4 linked regions of the Arabidopsis thaliana genome follow. The protein of the gene in region 3 interacts with the protein of the main gene of each other region in a pairwise test. Each region holds a gene or a part of one and is shown on either strand. Other genes may lie near its edges. The genes, in order: NAC088, GATA17, NAC071 and HB27.

The links.
Region 1: the proteins of NAC071 (region 3) and NAC088 interact in a two-hybrid assay, tested with the Arabidopsis thaliana proteins (one large-scale study listed by BioGRID).
Region 2: the proteins of NAC071 (region 3) and GATA17 interact in a two-hybrid assay, tested with the Arabidopsis thaliana proteins (one large-scale study listed by BioGRID).
Region 4: the proteins of NAC071 (region 3) and HB27 interact in a two-hybrid assay, tested with the Arabidopsis thaliana proteins (one large-scale study listed by BioGRID).

What each region holds. Positions count from the first base shown.
Region 1 is NC_003076.8:6,055,385-6,060,164, reverse strand, and holds NAC088 (NAC domain containing protein 88), read right to left. Parts: upstream 2,393-4,780; coding exon 1,949-2,392; downstream 1-1,948. Other genes in the region: SIP1;2 (Aquaporin-like superfamily protein), read left to right, coding at 3,758-4,054, 4,433-4,708.
Region 2 is NC_003074.8:5,762,344-5,767,974, forward strand, and holds GATA17 (GATA transcription factor 17), read right to left. Parts: upstream 2,418-5,631; 5' UTR 2,234-2,417; coding exon 2,045-2,233; intron 1,793-2,044; coding exon 1,409-1,792; 3' UTR 1,154-1,408; downstream 1-1,153. Other genes in the region: AT3G16880 (F-box and associated interaction domains-containing protein), read left to right, coding at 4,390-5,487. UniProt on the Arabidopsis thaliana protein: Transcriptional regulator that specifically binds 5'-GATA-3' or 5'-GAT-3' motifs within gene promoters.
Region 3 is NC_003075.7:9,977,528-9,983,545, reverse strand, and holds NAC071 (NAC domain containing protein 71), read left to right. Parts: upstream 1-2,990; 5' UTR 2,991-3,507; coding exon 3,508-3,664; intron 3,665-3,754; coding exon 3,755-4,044; intron 4,045-4,147; coding exon 4,148-4,372; intron 4,373-4,462; coding exon 4,463-4,669; coding exon of another isoform or gene 4,670-4,696; 3' UTR 4,697-4,843; downstream 4,844-6,018. Other genes in the region: ALMT12 (aluminum-activated, malate transporter 12), read right to left, coding at 5,824-6,018. UniProt on the Arabidopsis thaliana protein: Transcription factor involved in tissue reunion of wounded inflorescence stems. Required for the division of pith cells in the reunion process, which is dependent on polar-transported auxin and the wound-inducible hormones ethylene and jasmonate.
Region 4 is NC_003076.8:17,151,379-17,156,917, reverse strand, and holds HB27 (homeobox protein 27), read right to left. Parts: upstream 2,201-5,539; 5' UTR 2,078-2,200; coding exon 1,349-2,077; 3' UTR 1,161-1,348; downstream 1-1,160. Other genes in the region: AT5G42770 (Maf-like protein), read right to left, coding at 2,563-2,643, 2,831-2,911, 2,990-3,031, 3,122-3,213, 3,286-3,355, 3,621-3,701, 4,156-4,236, 4,314-4,388 and 2 more; AT5G42765 (plasma membrane fusion protein), read left to right, coding at 5,277-5,484. UniProt on the Arabidopsis thaliana protein: Putative transcription factor.

The sequences.
Region 1 (4,780 bases), on a different chromosome or scaffold from region 3:
TTTGGATACCATTACTTCTTTTCCCGTAAATTGTAGCTACTGAATGATAAAGCTATTCACCATTTGAGTAACTGACTCTCTTTAGTAAAAAGTATTTATAGATTTATGGTTTGCATTTAGATTAATTAAACGCACGCGTTAAAAAAAAAAAAAAAGAAGCGTGAGCCAAACGATTGAAGAAAAGTTTAGCTAATTTAGCCAAATAGTAATGAAAATGTTTCAGTTACAAAATAAAAAATGGCTTTACATTTATTGACAAAGCAAAACAAAAAGAATATGGGGGTTACATTTGAAAAAGTAGCTTTATTGTTTATGGGTTGTCTCTAGAAAAATGATAGTCTATGTGTAATAAATTAAGTGGTTGGCGTAAGCTTGACGATGACGGTGAAGAAGTTGGGAGTTTTTGGGAGATTCACAGTCAAAGTTCACATTTTTAAAAGTTCCTTTTTGCTGCCAATCCATACCTCAACCAACAACAAATTTGTCAGTTGTGTGCATTTATCTGTCGGTTTAAAATGGTTTTGCATAGACTATATAATAACAAAAGTTGAAGCTACTATATTTTTTATGTTATAAAACTTTATCCTATAAATATTGAAATGAAATACAAGTAATGAAACTTGCAAGTAATAAAGAAATATAAAGCTTTCCTGCTCACCTTATATTAATTTATAACGTTAAATATTTATACCATTTTTGAATTGCATCAGCGATTAATAGGGAAACAATCAAACAAAGAAGAGAGTAAGACTGAAAACTACAACTAAAAACAACAAAACAACAAAACATACCACAAGAAAAACATAATCAATGTTAAGTTATATTATATATGGTTCAACTTTTCTTTCTCAATCTTGACAAAATTGACCATACGTATTTTCCCTTAGAGCATCTACAACAATGGGATCCATATTTTACAATAAAAAATTTACAAATAGACATTTGAACTAGATTTATATTTGACATTGTCCAATGATGGGATCCAAATATAGAGGATCTAAAATTTTAAATGTTTGAAAAATGTGTCTAAGGTATGTGTGTTTGTGTGTCCAAAGAAGCGTCCAAAAGAGTGACTAAATGTCCAAAAATAGATCTGTATCTAAGGTTTTTTCTTCAATTTTGATTTAATTTTTAGATCTTTGATGTTTAGGACATCCTATTCCAACAAAATCTGAAGACCGACGCTAAAAACCCTAAACAGACTTATATTTCATATGTGTAGGTGACAGTGACAGACCGTATTCCTCAAAACGTGGAAAGATTCTTCCGTTTGTGAGATTCGATCTAATATTTCTTTAAAAATATATATATTACTACAATATGTTCAGAAGAAGAAGAATCCTCTACAATCAATTCATACAAAAATATAGGAAATCAAATAGCAATATCGTTTTTTTTTTTTCATCTTTTATAGATTGACTAAATAGAGCAAGAAAACTAGCAAACTTCCTTTTTTGTTGATATATACTACGTACAAAAGATAAGTTCTTATCATAAAAGTTTGTTGAAACATGTTTACCTCTTCTACTCTAGGGTTTGGATTTAGAGTTTAGATACAAGCTTTATTTCATATATTTCTCAAGAAAATATTAATATCTCATTATATTTTCATACATTATATGAATAATACGTACTGTCTTCCTCGGAAAAAAAAGGAAACCATTATTGTTATCTATGAAAAAAGTAACATGCGAAGAGCTGCAAAGCTCCTCATAAAAAACTTGAATAATCTTTAATTAAATAAACAAGAAAACATTGAGACTCTCAGATCCTTGACTTATAATGTGTATACTAATAAAGATATAAGAATACGGGAGAATCTTCAAACGAAACACAACGAAATAAAATGATGATGAGTAACGTAACTACCTTTAGAAAAAAAAAAAAAAAAAAGAAGTCATCGTTTTCCATAATCATCATATTTTTGAGGGATATTCACCAAACAGAATCATGGTCCTTTAAGGTGGCAGAGACGTTGGTTTTGATTGCCAATGGAAGAATACTCCCTCATGGTCCAACCACTCGTTTTGCTCTCATCACCTTCAACGTAGAACCTGAGATTCCTCTTCTTCCCGATCACTTCACCGGTTTTCTTCGACACGACATCTTTTAACTCTCCAGTGGCTTTCCAACCTTTAACTTTGCGATTTGTCCTTTTCACGAAATAAAACCACTCGTTAGGTTCAAAGATATCATTCTCTGTGTGATTAAGCCGCCACGGCTCTTTGGCGTAGATGTTGTCCCTGTCTTCTAACAAATATATCGTGTTTGGTTGGTGGAAGCCAAGCTTTGGTAGAAGATAATCGAGTATGAGTTCTTCTTCTGAAGGATTAAATCTAAAGCAACCAAGCTCTTCCTCTTCATCGTAAAATTCTTCAGTCATCGGCATCATCTTCTTCTTCTGAAATTTCCTCGAGTCAAATGAGAGAGAATTAATTATGAACCTCCTCTAATGAGGTTTATATAAAGTGGAGTATGATTGAGAACCGACTATTGAATATTATCTAATTTGGATTAGTTTTGGATATATATAAATATACAAAAAGGAAAGTTTACAAGTTTTTCATGTTATTTTTATAAAAATAAATCCAATAGGCACAGGGCTATACCAAACGAATAATAATGATGTCAAAAAAATAAACGAATAATAGTTAATAATTTTTCAAAAAACTAAAGACATTTATTTTGTGGCCCAATAATTCCAAACACATCAATTTGAAAAAAAAAATTATGTAGAGGAGATACAAAAGGAAAACAAAAAAATTTGTATGGTTTCGCACTGGGCTGGGCCTATCTAGAGTCCAATAGTCAGCAATGGTTTGGTTAACCTTTCTTTCTTAACCTTGGCTAAACAGACCACAAGTTTGGGTTCTAAGGTTAGATAACAATAAAATCTCAGGGCCGACCCCTGATACTTATGCTCATAAGCATATCCTAATTCTTTTAGCTAATATCGTTTAACGAATTTATGCTAATAATAACATGCGATCTCATTACTTGAATATCAAGAAATGCAACAAACTCTCTCTTTTTCGTCCCAAGAGGGGGTCTTGGCCTCTTGGGTATACTTTCTGCAGAACCATAAATTATGTTTCTCGTTTAGGTTCTGTCCTTTTTTTTTCTTTTTTTATAATATCTTGACTATATACCAGCCTATGTATATCATTTTTTTTTACTCTAATATATACTGGAAAAAGGAAAGAAAAAAGGTTTTTGTTTGTGCTCAATTCCTATAAGTTAATTTTTACATGTATCTGTTCTCAATAGTGTCTACATTCATTTGATCATTATAATTTGTACACTAGTACACTAAAAAGGAAAAAGAAAAAAAGCAGTATAGACTTTCCATAGTCAGAGCTCACCAAAAAGGAACCATGGTCATTTGAGGTGGCAGAGAATATGGAAATGAACTCATTACATATTTTGTACAACAAACCCATTTTGGAATTAAACAGGCCCTCTATGTTAATCAGAGCATAAGGATTTCATCTTTTTCTCTACAAACTTTTCAATTATCTTTTTCTAAGAGTTACAAAAGTATATTTGTTTTCTATATAAATTTGGGATAGTCTATCTACATTTCTACAAAATTCAGCTAACCGTTAGGTGAGTCACTCATAGTCATACATATCTTCCTTCTATATAAAAAAAGAATATTAGTTTTGAGTGGACTGATAAATATATTCTTTTCAACAAGAAGAAAACAATCTTCTTAAACCCAAACGTTCAAGAAAAAGAAAAAAAAACGATACTTACGATGAGTGCGGTAAAATCGGCGTTAGGTGATATGGTGATAACCTTTTTGTGGGTTATTCTCTCGGCGACGTTTGGGATACAGACGGCGGCGATTGTTTCCGCCGTAGGGTTTCATGGTATCACTTGGGCTCCTCTTGTGATCTCAACGTTGGTTGTTTTTGTCTCCATCTCGATTTTTACGGTTATTGGAAACGTTCTTGGTGGTGCTAGCTTCAATCCTTGTGGAAACGCAGCGTTTTATACCGCCGGTGTTTCCAGTGATTCTCTCTTCTCCTTGGCCATTAGATCTCCTGCTCAGGTGTGTGTTTATGATCTAAGCTAGCTTTTGAAACCAAACCAACTTCTTCTTCTTGTTCTTTATTTTGTTCTGAACAGAAAGATTTTTGTTCATATACTTGTGACATCTTTTCATATGAGTATTTGCTTTTGTGTCTTGTCTCTTCGAATAAGAATCTATTAAAGTTTTATCCTTACACATTGTTTATGAATTTCTTTACATTTATTTTGTTGTTAGAGCAATGTATTTTCTTTGTTTGTTGGATCTATGTGAAGTTTATTGTGTGTGGTCCATGTGTGTTTTTGAATAACGTACAAACTTTTTTAATTGGAGATTTTGGCCCAAGTACCCACTGGCATATTTGTTTCCATATGTAATGTAACCTTTTATATATCTTAGGCAATTGGTGCGGCAGGCGGTGCGATAACGATCATGGAGATGATACCGGAAAAGTATAAGACTAGGATTGGAGGAAAGCCTTCATTGCAATTTGGTGCACACAATGGAGCTATTTCTGAAGTGGTCCTAAGTTTTAGTGTTACATTTTTGGTTTTACTAATTATCCTAAGAGGTCCTCGAAAACTGCTCGCGAAAACGTTCTTGCTCGCACTCGCTACCGTATCGGTGTTTGTCGTAGGTTCTAAATTCACTAGACCATTCATGAATCCTGCCATTGTAAGTTCATACTCGTCCTACTCAAGAATTGTTAATTCATTTTTATTACATTTTGAAATGAATCTTGATATA
Region 2 (5,631 bases), on a different chromosome or scaffold from region 3:
AAGCCAAAGACAAGGTTTTGTTCTTCTGACAAAATTATAAAATAGTGGGTTTAAGTTTTCAAATTACAAGATGAACCATATATTTCTGTTAATAAAAAAATGCAACCCCAACCTATATCTTAGTAATTATGTGAATGTGTAATTTACACCTAATCGTTAGCTATAAAACATTGATACCAAACACAGTTTATAGAATGTTCGCTTAAATGACTTATATTCAAATATTTACTGATATTTCTGTCTACTAAATTTTAGTGATTTCTAAGAGTGTTTATGGAAGTTTTGAATGTATTGAGAGTGTGATTTGATAGCTAAAATATATTATGAAGATTTTGTTTGAATTTGTGAAAAATAATAAGGAAAACGTATCTCCAAAATTAAGAAATGGTGTTTATGGAAAATATCGACAAGTTATTCCTAAATTGTACTCTTTGCTTAGGAAAATAAAGGAATCAATGGAAGTAATGGTCCTAAATCGAAGAAACTGCATAATATAAGGGTGAAACACATAAATAGAAGCTTTGGTCAAAAGAAAGTCCCCCGTTGAACGAAGTTGCCCCGTTAATTTGAATCATTCTCGAGGTTCACGGCTCTACCTAGCCATGTCACACTCACACCATTCGTCCACCAGTGATCCATTTAAATGAATTATATTTTCGTCACCACTTTAGATTTTTAAAAAAAAATTATAAGTATGATTCATGACTTTGCCATATTTAACATTACTTAAAATTTTGTTGGTCCACCATTATTAATTATTAATGATGGCTTATTAAGGTTGAATCATACGCTTACATGAAAAACAAAACCAATTGCAAATCGAAAATTTACACTGTCCCTGTTACAAAGTTACCATAACAACTTTTAATCACACAAACAGATACTCTGCCAAGTGCAAATCGAAAAATTGCCATCCTTCAATAAAATGAAAAAACAAATCGAAGTATACAACCTCAGCATGATATATATATAAAAAAAACTCTAAACCATACAAAATCTGAATTTGAAACCAGTTGTGAATTCAAAAGCATATAAAAATTCAAATCAAATGAAAAACGACATCAATGGACCAAAAAACAAAAAAATGGTGGAGTTGACGGAGACAAGACAACTAGAATCACGCGCCTCACGATTCCCCCGATAAAGCCCAATATCTTGGGCCATATGGGCCCATACACAGAGAATGACATTTGAGGCACTAAAAATTAAGACCAATTCTCATTATTATGGCATTGAATGACTAAGAACCAAAAAAAAGTGTTGATATTTGAATTCATCAAGAAAATGAACACAAAACATTAGTGGAACCAAAAAACTAGGAACTTACACATTCATTACATATTATCTCTATCTAATTAAGTTAATCAAAATCGCTCTCACTTGATTATGACCTAATACAGAGAAACACTTAGGCGTAAACAGAGCTACAAGAGAGAGCCATGAGAAGCACAGCAGCTCTTTCTTCCTCACCGAGTTTTCTCCATAACCTCTTCTTCTCAACCGCTGATCTCTTCATCACCGGTACTTTAAACCCTAAATCCAAAAACTTACTCACTCCTTTGTTACTGCTACTACTACTACTACGCTTGTTATTGCAAATTTTCGGATCATCATCGATGTCGATCTTGCCATCATCAACTATGTTGATTTTGTATTTCTTGGCGTTTCGATGGTCGAGGTTTAGATCATTATTGCAATTGCTTTTTCTGTTCTTCTTCTTCTCCTCTGATCTCATACCAAGTGCTGCTTGTCTCTTCTTCCTACTCTTGATCCCACAAGCATTGCACAATGACTACATAGCAAAAGACAAACCAAAGAAATAAGAAAAATTTGAACTTCAGAGCAATATGAGATCAGATCTTTCCGGTCACTAAATTGATTCATCACCTAAATAAATTTGAAAAACGATAAAACCTAAAATAGGATCATGCATAATATAGATGCTATTTCGCGATCCATTGATTAGATCTACTAGATCGGAATCTAACAACAACCCAATAGACTATAAGAAGATTGAAATGAAAGGGTTAGTTAAAAATCTCACCTTTGGTCCGGCAGGACCACCACGCCAAAGAGGAGTTCGGATAGTTCCGCAATCAACGCAAGTCCTTTTGGTATCACCAGAACTACTACCACCGCCACTTCCGCTGCTACTGCAGTTCTCGTTATCAACATCTGATAACTCTCCGGCAGAGTCGAGTTTTGTTTTCGTATCTTCTGATCCCTCAGACATCTTTTTTTTTTTAAGAGATCGGAGCAGAGCAAGTTTTGATGATAAGGAAGAGGGAGAGAGAGAGAGACGGCGGTTAGTAGCAACAGAATTAAACAAACGGAGAGGAATTTTATAATTGAGGAGGAAGGCGGGGGCGGAAACCCTAGTATTTCGGGTTATTTGAATTGACTAAAATACCCTCGAGCGGGAGCTTTTATTAATTTTGTGCCACCCGCCCAAAAACTTATAACTAAAATCTGAAACAATGTTTTGATTTTTTGTTTTTTAAAACTAGCCGCTTTCAAATTTTGCGGCTAGGGTTTGTTATTGGTCGCTGTCCTGACAATAATCTGTTTTCACGTTTTTTTTTTTTTCAGTTTTTGGTTTTATTTTATTTCTAATGTCAAAATTTATAATAAACTAATAAAGTTTTACGTCGGTTTTATTTACAATCAATGCAACAAATGAATTTTTTAAAAACTTATGAATGATGACTGGATTATTAATAAAAAAACAAAAAAATAATGGCAAAATTCTGTAAGATAAATATCCATTGGGCTCAATTTGATAGTCCAGGCCCATGAGCATGATAACGCAGTACAGTTTTTTAGTTGAGCTACAGAAGAAGAAATTACAGTACAGATGCACCTACCCACAAAGAAAACCCGGTGGTTCGAACCGTTAAGTTGTCACCGTAGGATTAAGTATGGCATAGGATACGTGGATGACAAATCATGCGGCCTCAACCACAAAGTTTTGAGGTTTGTTCAATCTTGGTCTTACGAAGATGTTCGGTGTGAACTCTAAACATTGGAGTGAGGATGGATATTTTCAAAAAAGTGAATTTCAAAGAATCTTCAAACATAACTTCTTCCCCACTTATGTTTCAAGTTTAGTGCAAATCCAAAATTAGTTTGTATTCTCATGTCTTGTATGAATTATTAACTAAGGCATATTTGATTTTATTCCAAACAGTTTATATATGATGGAATTGAAAAGTGATCAGCCTCCGTTTAATTTTTCAATGATCATTTCTGTTAGTAATAGAGGAACTAGAGGAATTGTTAATCAGTGTGTTCTTTTAACATGAAAAAGAAGATAGTTTCTCTTTGACATATTCATGCAGTAATTCATCATATCACAACAGAAAGATGATTTGAGACCTGACCACCAATGACCAAACATATTTATCATCAAGACAAAGAGTGAGATTATGAGTTTCCTTCGTATGCATCAGAGCATTTTTTTGGGTGAGTTCTGGAGCTTCACTCTGCAACATATGTAAGACTTCACCAATAAGATGAGATAATTTCAATATTTGAAATTCTTTGTGTATCAATGTAACTCGTACTTGAGCATTGATATGACCCTTTGCCAAGCAGATTATTAAGGAAGAAAGAAATTAACCTCGCAGTTGTAGGACTAAATTAACCTCAAAGTTCTACAAAGACAAGGTTTTCTTCCTTGGATGCCAAGTTAGGACCACAAAGCTCCTCAAACAACCACATTGCAGAAACCATCAGCAAAAAACAAGACCGATTATAAAGTTAAAAGATTGGGCTTAATTCCATAGACAAGCCCTTTACCATAATATAGGAAATTAGTACAAAATACAACAAAATTGGAAAATTGGAACTGGAAAGAGCTTTTGAAGGTCGCCGCATAAAAAAGTAACGTAACTTATTTGACTATATAACTCTAAATTAAAAAACCCTATTTTCTATGAAGTCAAAAAAAAAAAACCTATTTTCTACATCATCGAAACCTTGCTGAGACAATGACGAAGATATCCAATATTCCAATGGATTTGTTGGAGGAGATAAAGACGTAAAGACCTAATAAAGACTTGTTTTTTGGGTTCTATAAAATATAACCTTTGTTATTTAGTGTTCGAGGTAAACAAGACTAAAGTCCTTCAATGCTCATGTAAAATAGAATCTGGCCAAAGAATTATTGTTTCCTTAATTTTTACACTATAGTGGTTTAATTATACTAATTAGCCCATTAGGGAGTAAAAAGAATTATTGTTTCCTTTTCTTTTTTCACGGAAATAACTTTTGAAAGTTGGCATATAAAGTTGTTACCTAACTTATTTCTTGTCGATTAAAAAGATTAGGAAAGCGTGAGAGTAAAACCCTAAATTTCTATTACATTGATCATCCTTGAGTGCTGAAACAATGACAAAGATGTCCAAACTTCCGAATGATTTGTTGGAGGAGATACTCTCTAGAAGTCCACTGTATTCTATGAGAGCAATACGATTGACTTGCAAAAAGTGGAACACTTTAGCCAAAGAAGAAAGCTTTACAAAGAAGCAACTCGTTCAAACAAAAGCTGCCAAGGAATTTATGGTGATCATGATGATGGATTCTAAGTTTTGTTTAATGAACATCAATCTCAACAAGGAAGAAGACGTTGAACCATCTATAAAGTGTAATGGTAAAATTATTAACCCAATCGGTATGTGTCGAGTCTATCATTGCGGTGGTTTGGTATGCATCACAAAAAGCTTCAGTAACACTAGAGATGTGGTTTGGAATCCGTATTTGGGGCAAACTCGGTGGATCAAACCTAGAAGCCATCACGCATATATATATGCTATTGGATACGAGACGAAAAAATCGTGCCGCAGCTACAAAATTTTGAGTTCTGAACACAATTATATAAATATTGATGATGAACGTGTTGACTACGAAATCTATGAGTTAGACTCTAATTCATGGAGGGCTCTTGATGTCAATTCCAATTGGGCGACAGCCTTTTATAAAATGGATGTCTCTGTGAAAGGAAATTCTTATACGTATACTGATTATAGGGGTGACTTCTTGATTTCTTTTGATTTTACAACAGAGAGATTTGGACCGACTCTGCCTCTGCCGTTCCACTCTCGTTGTGGAGATATTGTGGCTCTCTCTAGTGTTAGAGAAGAGAAACTTGCAGTGTTACTTCACCGCTGCAATATATCAAGGATGGAGATATGGATTACTAACAAGATTGAGCCCAACAATGTGTCGTGGGGAAAGTTGTTCTTAACAGTGGACATGAAACCACTCATTATTGATGATGGAATTTTCTTCATTGACGAGGAGAAGAAAGTAGTTGTGGTTTTTGATAAGGACAAAGAGATGAGAAACCGTATCACAGCTTACATCATTGGAGAGAATGGATACTTCAGAAAAGTGGATCTCGGAGATTCTGAAAGTTTTCCTGTTAGGTGCTCTTATGTACCAAGTTCAGTGGAAATCAAGCAACTGGCAAAAGGCAAAAGCAACTAGTCCATTTACAATACCCAAATATTTGGTTCTTGCATTGTTTAATTACTACTACTCTTGCTTTGTCTTCTTTTCTCAGCTTCCTGATTCCTGAACAATATTGGTCTATTCTTAGTTCGTTTCTCATCTCTTACGTTGAAAAAAAGA
Region 3 (6,018 bases):
GTGATAAATTGTGGGATCTTCTCATTTTCTAAACTTTTTTTAGTAATTCTGAATTTTGTTTTATTTGCGACTAAGAAAATTTTGGACCTAAACCCATAATTTCCTCAGACCAAATATTAAAAATGATTAAACTAGTAATTTTGAACTTTTTTTTGTGAGTGATATAAGAAACTATTACACTGGTTGAGATGCGGATAAATAAGAGTCTTACCATTCCTTTTCACTTTTGTTTTTCACTTTCTTTAGAAGATATAGCTGGCACAAAGTAGTACATTAACTTTGAATAGAATTTTCCGATTGTAAAGTAACTATAAAACCTATGTGTAACTGTATTATAATGAAGAATTATATTCTAGCTCCCTCTTTCACACCAAAAGAAAATGAAGATTTATATTGTCTTTCTATTGATACGGTTAACTAAGTTGATGACAATCTACAAAACCATTCAATATGTATATATATTGTCTATCGATAAGTTTAGCAATATTTACTTTTTGTCGGAATCGCGGACTAGGAAAAATCACATGTCGGCAAAAACGAGAACACGATGACCAGTGTGGTGGGTTGGTAATTTGGTATATTTGGTTGGTCCATGATATCGGTTGAATCTATTTAGAATTTGCAAAAATAGTTCCGATATGACTACTGATATGAATTTACCCCCGGACATTAATTAGTAACGACATAATATTCAAACGTATATGGTACTTTTTGATATATAAAATTAGGGCTCAGTATAGTCAACATAGAAGATCCGTTATTCGTATTTCATAGGCTAACTTCTTCTTTTCCTACCATATGACGTAGTTATTCACGCTTTAGGCCTTTTTCTTCATTTTTGTTCTTTTGTCTCTCTTTAATCAGTGTTAGGGGTCATGGTGACCGTTCCTAAAGTATCGTATAATTATAAGGTGCACTTTTTGGTATATAGAACTTATTAACCTTATACATTTCCATCTCGTGAAGTCATTCGTTTTCCCAATATTTTTTTATTTTCTTTTCCTCTTGAATATTTCAGCTATCGGGTCTTACACAAATGGGAACTAAACTTTAAACTACAACTTTACATCTTAAACAATAACATATTTCCGGTAAAAAGAAGACAATAAACAAAATTTTCTTCAAAGTTTTGTTATCTCTTCTAATGTCTTAAAAGTTGAAAGTGGTTACTCTAATAAAAAGCAGTTTTGTCTTACTCATACTGACGTGGAGGAACATTGTTACACCCCCTTCAAAATAGTCAAGAAAAAGTTTAGAATATTGAACGAAAGGAAAAATAAAAGAATTAGCTAGGACCGAGTTTCTATGACCTAGAACTAAAACTCCCGTTACATACTTATATCAAAGAAACGAGCTAGAAAAAACATTAGAGAAATGTAAAATATATCTCTCTCTTTTTGGTTAACCAAGGTTTACTAATCCGATATACAAGAATGACATGCAAATAAACATAGGGTTAAGTTGTAAAGTAGTCAGATATTTAAACTTAATTATGGAATTGGGCAAATTACTATTTATAATTGGATTTTTAGTCACTAACCTTTGACCCTATTACAGACAAAATCAAATATACCCCATACCAACTCTATTATTTACAAATATGCCACTAATCTTCTTCTTCTCCAATGTCGTTGAAAGCAATTGGGATTTGTGCTTTTAGATTCAACATTTCTCTCTCCTCATACTCACATTCTTTGTATTTCTTTATATATATATATATATATATATATATATATATATATATATATATATATATTTATTTATTTTTTAATAACCTCTTCAATCTAATAATTGAAATGCTTATCAATGTAAATTTATTTTCTAAATTAATTCAGATACATAAAAATCTATATTTTTTCTCTATAATTTGATATGCATTTTGTTAATAATTTTAAATATATTATATAAACATTTTTATTAGTAGTCAGTACAGTTAATTATGTGTACAGATTTTTATTTATACAACTTATTTAATAAGTACAAATTGAAATCGTCCAGCCATAATTGGAAAAATAGTCATTTTACTATTCACAATTTGCAAAGTAGTCACTTTTAACTGTTTGATTCGTACACTTAGATCTGTACAACATTTTTTAGTGTACAGATGTAAGTGTACGTTGTGTATATTTATATATATATATATACACTAAAAATATTGTACAGGTCTAAGTGTACGAATCAACAGTGAAAAGTGACTACTGATAATTGTATACTCCATACAATTATATACTCTGTACAGCTAATGCAACGTACAAAATAAAGTCTGTACACATAATTAAGTGTACCGACTACTGATAAAATGTCTGTAATATATTAAAAATATTAACAAAATGCATATCAAATTATAAAGAAAAATACATAGATTTTTATGTATATGAATTAGTTTAGAAAATAAATTTATATTGATAAGTATTTCAATTATTAAATTGGAGGGGTTATTAAAAAGAAATAAAAAAAAAAAGAATATTTCACTTTTATCTTTCTTCTCTGTCAAAAGGATAGTTCGGTAATTTCAAAACACATCACTTACCCCACCCCAAACTTCTATTTCACGCTCGTCTATTACACGCCCAAAGTGAGTTACATGTTTTGTCAAGTGTAAATAGTAACTTGCCCAACTCCATAATTATGTTTTCAAAAGTGACTAATTTGCCAACACACCTATAAACATATCGTTTTACAAAACGAAACGACGTCTTATGAAATTAAAAAATAGAAAAATAAGTTTTGATTAATTATAGGTGATAGTATTATTGAATCATTGATGTGTGAAGTGTGAACAAGTCTAACTTTAGAGACCAGGTAGGTCCACTTTCTTTTTGAATTTTGGGAACTCTTAAGACAAGCAATGTCTTTATCCGCTTTCGGTGTGTCGAGTTATTTTTTCTTCTGAATATTAACGGCACTGACTATTATAATACTGTTTGTTTATTCTACAGAAAAATTCATCAACATATTTTAAGCTATGATTAAATTTGCCTCACAAAGTTTCGCAACCTTTGTGCTATAAATATCATTCACCCCACAACCATTCAACACTCTACCAACCTTCTCTTCTTCTCTCCGATCTTAATCACTCTCCTAATCAATACTCACTAATAACTTTTTTTTTTTTTTGGTCTTGTATAGCTAATAAGTCAGAGAACCCTTTTCCTCAGTCAGACTCTTTGACCCGCAGCAATTAGCTCTTCCACCAACTGCTCTTCGTTATTTCTGAATTGTACCTTAAGTTTGTTTCTATTTTTTTTCTTAGGTGTTAGATATATTTTTAAAAAGAGAATTTTGGATAATTCGTTTTTTTTTTTGTAAACATACAATCTCTTTCAGACAATGATATTGTCACAAAAAGGATGCAATCAAAGTGAGTTGCAACTTATTTTCAAAAACAAATTGAATGTCGAAAAAAGTTTATATTTTTAGATTTTCCAAATAGTCAATAGATATTTAGTTAAATATTAGCTTTCGACAACTCTCTTGTGTCGCAAGCTACAAGTGTGAATTTTGCAAATGGGGAGTTCATGTTTGCCTCCAGGATTTAGATTTCATCCAACTGATGAAGAGCTCATAGGCTACTACTTGAGTAGAAAAATAGAAGGTCTCGAGATTGAGCTTGAAGTCATTCCTGTTATCGACTTATACAAATTTGATCCTTGGGAGTTGCCAGGTAATTTGAAAAGGAAAACAATTAGATTTTTATCCATAAATTTATATTTAAATAAAACTAAATTTGTTTGATTTTATCTTTGAATTTTAGGTAAATCTTTCCTTCCAAATAGAGATTTGGAATGGTTCTTTTTCTGTCCAAGAGACAAAAAATATGCAAACGGTTCTCGAACCAATAGGGCTACAAAAGCGGGTTATTGGAAAGCAACTGGTAAAGACCGGAAAATCACTTGTAAATCATCGCATGTTATAGCTGGATACCGAAAAACCTTAGTTTTCTATGAAGGTCGTGCCCCATTAGGCGACAGAACTAATTGGTTTATGCATGAATATCGTCTATGCGATATTGATGATCATTCACAAAAATCACCAAATTTCAAGGTAAGAAAATTAGAGTTCGTTTCATTTGATCCAACTTCATAATATTCATTTTTATGAACTAATGGAACGAAGCCTAAAAACCATATATATGTTTGAATTTTAGGGAGCTTTTGCGTTATGTCGCGTAGTTAAGAAGAATGAACTGAAGAAAAATTCGAAAAGTTTGAAAAATAAAAACGAACAAGACATTGGTTCTTGTTACTCTAGCCTCGCGACCTCTCCTTGTCGCGATGAAGCGTCGCAGATTCAATCGTTCAAGCCTTCTTCTACTACAAACGACTCTTCAAGCATTTGGATTTCTCCTGATTTCATCCTTGATTCGTCAAAGGTACCTACATCTATTATCTAAACCAAAATAGTTTTTGTATAGACAGTAGTGGTCTGATATGTGTTTTTGGTTTTGTGATTTTAAATATAGGATTATCCTCAGATTAAGGAGGTTGCTTCTGAGTGCTTTCCCAACTACCATTTTCCGGTCACCACGGCAAACCACCACGTGGAATTTCCGGTGAGCTCTTGTTATTTCAATGTGGACCAGGACATTGATCAGTCGATGCAAACCGGTTATTGGACAAATTATGAAAATGACCAAACCGGTTCATTTGACTACTCAAACCTTTTTTAGCTACAAGAAATGTTGGTTCGTTCTTAGGACAAAAACGCCTTTTAACGTTGGTGTCTTGGAACTTGGAAGAAGAAGAAGAACTAGTTGTGAACGTCTATCATTTTCTTTTGAGAATTTAATTATCTTACTCTTGGTTTTTATTTTAGTTTTATATATATTGTTTGCTAATATAAGGAATGAGTATAATAAATTCCTTATTTAAAGTTTTTTCGTATGAAGATTTACGTTATTATAGAGTCTTATTTTAATGTTCCGATACCTTTGATATGATATATGCAAAGAGAATCAATCATGTTCTTCTCAATCATTAATTGGACCAAACTTATATTATATAAAGCAACTTATGTAGAAGTCATAACAATCATTTGCATTAAAAATCCAATATTTTGTCTATAAAAGCAATAGTTTCGGGACCATTTTGACATTTCAAAAGTTTATGTAAACAAAATTCCATAAATATGCAGAGATTAAAATCAAAAACTATGTGACGCAGCAATTTGTTTACAGATGTATGAAAATCCCAAAAGCTTGCATTTCTCAATTGTTAGAGACCTTTCAAACAAAATTCTTTTTTCCATGAGCTTTCTACATTTCATTCTTTTAAAATTTATAAGAATATTTCTTCCTCTTGAAAATGATCTACGAAATACTTTTGATATATAGTCTATATGATTTACAAAATGTGAACAATATCAAATTGGGTCCATAGCTCAGTGATAGAGCAATTGACTGCAGATCAATAGGTCACCGGTTCGAACCCGGTTGGGCCCTTCCTTTTTTTGTTTTTTCTTTTTTTTCTGTTTTTCACTTTACAATTAAATTCCGGAAATTCAAATTGCCGGACCAGAAATAACCGGCCTTAAACATTACGACTGTATCTTTCTCCTTGTATTGTTTGTCTTAACCAGACATCTCAATTCATTACACAACGAAACACATAATAGTTTTTTCTATTCAAGAAACGATAATTTTCTTATTAGTAAATTCTGAAAACGAAGACACGAAAAGGAAAAAGCATCCGATTCCTAATTCCCATCATCGTAAAAAGGACAAACCGAATCATACCAAACCGAATCGAATCGCATCATCGACCCCTTATACCGATCGGTTTAGTCTAATCTAAAAAACTCAATTTATCGTCGTCGTTCGTTGCTTCATTCCGCGGCACCGACACTGATCGTAACATTCGCCGGGTTTTCGCATCGGACATCGTCAGCCGTCTGATCTCGCTTGTTATCATACTCCTTAAAACTTGCGATCCTTCCCAATTCCTCAACTTCTTCGATTACATTATCGAGCCTCGCCACCATTTCCACTAGCAACGACGCAAACGCCGCGAACGGTAATGC
Region 4 (5,539 bases), on a different chromosome or scaffold from region 3:
GTTCTTGATGACTTCTTGTACATATGTAAAATTCGCATCCTTTTGGCAAAGGCCAATGGTAAGAAACTTTTTCTTTTTGCGTTATGATTTCTATTTTTGTAGTTAGAAAAATAGAATAAAAAATAATTAGTCTATAATTCATTTAACATTCACATACAATCAAGAGTTGGTGAAGAAAGAAAAAGACAGAATCGGTAGATAAACTCTTAACAAACTTTCGATTGTTTGGTGTATTCTTCATACAACTTTGTAGAGGATGTCCTCGTATAAGAGTATATATCTCCATACAACTTTGTCATCTCAATGTGAGGACATCTACATAGGTGGAAGATGATTAGATGAAGCGGTAAAGCTTAAAAGGGTTGCCTACTATTCCGGTTGTAGCGATATGTTCATCAATTTTGCTCTGGTACTAGTGCGGCCGTGTAAATCTTCAAGACTAATCTGGATGAAGTCCACTATAGATGTTGTGTCCGAATTTTTATTACTTAATCGAAAGAGTAAAGTGAAGGAAGGTGGTCGTAATAACAAGGTCGATGATTAAATATTAAGAATGTCACACACCAAAGATATGAGATATGAACTAAGCTAAGAATCGTTTAGTTTTTGTTGATATTCTCAAGACTAAATATGAATGACAGTACTTAAGATAACTGAAACTAAACTACGTGTTGCGAACAAAAACAAGATGGTTGAATAAACACATGCAAGTTAAAATAGTAAGTGAGTTAAGAAATTAAACAATCTACTATTATAAACCTAAATCTAGAAAAAAAAAAAAAAAGGAACGCAACTAACGGTCTTTTTCGCATAATAGTGCAAAAAATCGAGATAAATCATTTAGACAAAACATATTTATGTTTAAAGCAAGCGTTCAAATTTGCACAAGCTTGGAGTCCAAATTCCATATTGTAGGCTTCTCTAGGTAAACCCTCTCAAGGCTCTATCACTCAGTGCAGGACTTAAAGAACAAGTAAGATTTATGTAGGAAATGAAGGCCAAGTCAGTTTTTTGGTATAAGAAACGTGTAGTTGGGGTCTGCTTTCATAGTTGGTGTTCTTTCTTGTAATATTGTGTTTTAAGAACCTTGTCATGTTCATGTTCTTGACCATTCACATTTTGGGTTGGGCCAACTTACAAGTAATGAGCACAGCAGATCAGAAATCCAAACGAAATATTACTTACTTCTTGCATTAAAACTATTGATTACGAAGGTTGTGGCAAATCCTTCTCCACAATTGGTTTTAGCCAATAATGAGCTTGTTATTTATACATTACACTAAATCAAACACAAATTAAAACAAAGTAGAATGAAAAGAAAAGTAACACAATTAAGTTTGGTAAATAATCATTCATCAATTATAATTTTATCCTTGTGATTATTCATCCAAATCCTAAAATTCTTCCGATTCACTCCAATCTCTACACAAAACTCTTCAACCTCCTCCTGCCTCTCAGGTCTCACCTTCCACCGAAGCTTCTCCGCATAATCCCTCATTTTCTCCGTTTGCTCCGCCGTGAACTTCGTTTTCAACCTCTTCACTATCCCCTCCTCCTCCTCCGCACCGCCGAATCGATCTTTAATTATCGGATCCCCTCCATAACTCTCCTTCTCCTTCTTCTTCTTCTTTCCTTCGCTTTTTCCACCGCCGTAAGGTGAGCAAAAGATCCGACGAAACTGACACGATGAAATCTTGAGAACTTCAAGAACCGTCTCAGTAACGCCGCCGTTCTCCGGGATTAACTCTTCACGGTGGAAGTTACGGTGACAGCCACATGCGGCGCAGTTTAAAGAATCTTCTTCACCGGTGGAGCTAACAAACTCGCCGCAGCCGTCGTAAGCGGTGGTTCCGATATCAGCGGCGTGATTCTTCCTGCATTCGTAGTAGTGTGGCTTGTGAGTGACTTTGAAGATTGAGTCGAGGATCGGTGGTGGCGCGTGATGAGTACGCGTGGGTTTGGGCTTGGTTTTGCATGTTGGAAGATAATGGACGTGGTCTCCAGTTTCACGGCAAATGGGTTTGACGTTACGACGTCGTTTGGAATTCTCTTCTTTCTTTGGTTTTATCTCATCCATTGATGATGATGATGAAGAAGAAGAGAGAAAATGAGTTCAGTGGAGAGAAAGTGTTTGTGTAAACTTTTTTGATAAAGAAGAGTCGATACTTTTTAGGCTGCTTGATAGTGACTAGTGACCAGTCACAGTTTCCGTTTTCCAACAAAACTTGTGTTTAACCGGAAATAAATTACGTAACCAATTGGTTAGGGGCTACCAAACCAAACCAAGAGACCGTAAGTCCAACACAAACCTTATTTACTTAAACTTAGGTTCAGCCGGTTTGGTTTACTTCGGTTTGGGTGGTTTTGATGGTAAGCCTCTCTAATATCACGCTATCAATTACCAATTCCAGTCTAAAGGTTAAGTCAGAAACAAGAGGTAGTAAAACAACTGAATAAACTAGTTTGACTGTAACATTAAGCTCATTTCCCAAATTAAACTCCGAAACTTATCTATAATCCTCACAACATGAATACACCAACATTCAGAGGCGACGAATGTACCTATGTGCTTGCCAATACTTCCTTTATCAGTTTCTCAGTCAATTCTTTGGGCAGACCCATCACACTATCTGTTGTCCCAACCTGATACAACAATACAACCTAGTTTAACATCCCATGCTCCAAAACGGTATTAAAAGAACAAGAGGAACGAAACCGTATGATCAACATGTGTATCTATGAAGAAGAAGGGATAGACTATATAGACTTAAATCCTTGTAAATTCATATAATGGTTCATATTTTAAAATGGACAAGGTAAGGAATCCAACCACTTCCTTAACGCATGGCAAGATTAGCGGATGCTCGATTAGGAGTGCACCAGCCACCTTAAGCACCATGCCTTCCTCAATCTGCTCATCAACACAGCCTTAACTTCAATATTGATATGGTGAAATATATGTCTTAAACTTGTACAAAACACCACTCACCAGTTTCTCGATAGTCTCTTCCGGTATTTCATTGAAATAGATCTGTTAGGAATTTACATCATCAGCTGATGCTATATATTTCCCAAATTGTAACAATCCTAACTTTAATGAAACGCAAGATTATAGTGTTACCTCCACTCTATCGACGCCTCCTTTTCTGACTCCTGTTTTGAGATTTGTCACAGCCACAGAACTCACTGTTGCTGTATGCCCCTTGGAATAGCCTGTGTTTTGAATTTAGTTCTTTAACCTTAAGCCTTGAGTTATAGTAAGCAAAACAAATCATGTGAGCTTACCTCTTATGTACTCCCTTGCTTCTTCGACACTCGAGGGTTTCTCTCTAACAGCATCTTCATAGACAACCACCTTCATACAATTCAAAACATTAAACCCAAGTCTCTCATAGACTATCTATTATCACCAAATTCCATTTCTGTCCTTAGAATGCCCCATCTTTCATTAGTCAACTCCTATAAATTACAAACAACCTGAATGTTTAAACAATCTTAGCTCTTTAGACTCCATTTAATCACTAACCTAACCTAACATGGGTGTCCATTACAGCTAGCTAGTTGATAATATCATAGTAAAGCTTTGAGCAAACACAGAAAGTTTAAATATAGCTCAGTACTTGGTCACAAGTAATAAGTAAGGTCGACTTATCCTCCTCTATGTTTTCACCATCAGGGATCCGCTGCATGATTGCTTCAGCCTGGGAAAAAATTATGCCGGTTTATCAATGAGACTGATGAAGAGCAAATGCTATATAAAACACCTTTGGCTTAATAAAAGATATATGCATGAAACAGGTCCCTCCAGTTAATAAAAACACTGGTGGAAGCAGAAATGATAATTGTAGGCGGAGCTACAAAACATGCGATATCAAATCATGTAGGCAGAGCATAAAGACTTAAATTTCACAGAATAAACAAGAGTAGATCAAGACCTAAAGAATGACAAATACTAGCTTCAGAGTAAGATATAGAGGACCCTAAAGAGATAAAACCCATAAAGCAACTTCTGGTGCAGGACAAATCAGAGCTATTACGACGTAAGAGTGTATATTTCCAAAGAAGATGATGATGCATTCCCAAGAACATAAAATGGAACTTGGTGATAGTAGATGGAGACTTTACTAGTAATTAGCTAAACCAAAAACTACATACTGTATCCGATGCAATCAAGACTCTCGGTTGTTCCTCATCTTCACATTCACTAATTTGTAGTTTTGACACAATAGCATCAGCCTGTGATGACAAGATTAACAAAAAGAAACATGAACCATAAAAGCAACCATTTTATTGCAGATGACTAATGAAGTTACCTTTGCCTCAGCTAAAGCCAAAACCAACTCTTCAGGTTTCTCCTTGCGGATGCTTTTCTCATCAATATCAGCACTCTACATTAACAATTACCAGTAAACTTCTACTTGAACTAGAAGCCCAAATACAAAAATGCAGTCTTTGAATAATAATTTCAAAGGAACAAGAAATTACCATGAGAGTGAATTGGTATCCCATATCTGTTAGTATCTTACGTCGAGCAATCGAAGAAGATCCCAAAATTAGCTGCAAACAAATTTCAATAAGCAACCAAAAGACTCCAATTTTTCCAAAGGATGGTTTTTGAAACGCAACAAGATTATAGCTTTAGCAAATACATTCAAAGCACAAGTTATGGAGATTTCACAAGTTCGAAATTGACTGCAGAAACAGTTCATGAATCGAACTAGAAACCTATTGAAAAGAAGCGGACCTTGAAGTGAGGATGATTCGATTCCATTTTCTACTGCAATGAGATTGCTGAACTTGAATATCGTTATCAATCAGAATCCTTGACACGCTCAAAATCTCAACTGTTGCAGTTGCAGGCACTCTCGAGCAAAGCAATAAAGAAAAATTTGGTTTTTAAGTTTGTTTAGAAACCCTTTAACTTCTACTAAATTGCATAACTACCCCTTTTATTACTGGAAAAAATGTCATAAAAACCATCACCAGTTTATCAAAAGTGGTGAAACAAAGCACCAATTTTGAGTAGGATGACTTTAATTTTAAACTTTAGTTGATTTTCAATTAAATCGTTAATTTTCGTTAATTTTGCTAAATAAGGTACATCCTTAGCTGACGGACCAATTTAGCAAAGATAAGTCAACATTTACATTTTTATTATGTTCACAAACCGACGTCGTTTTGTGTTTAAAAACAAGACAAAAATCTGTTCAAAAAGGAAACCATTGGTAAATACCACATGAGCGGGTACACATAACTTAGCTCGTTAATGTTAAGCCATGGCTCGTCTTATCCCAATTTCTCAACCTTTCTTCTCTTCAAACACTAAACCTCCACCACCACCACCAATCGCCGCCGCACAAATCTCCGACCACCTGCCACAGATTATCTCTCGCCGAGACGCCACCGTTCTTCTCTCCTCCGCCACTTCTCTTCTCCTCACTCTCTCCCCCACCAATCCCGCTTTCGCCTTCTCCTTAGGAATCTGTACACAACACACTTCTCACTCACTCTTCATTTTATTGATCTTATCTCCAAATTT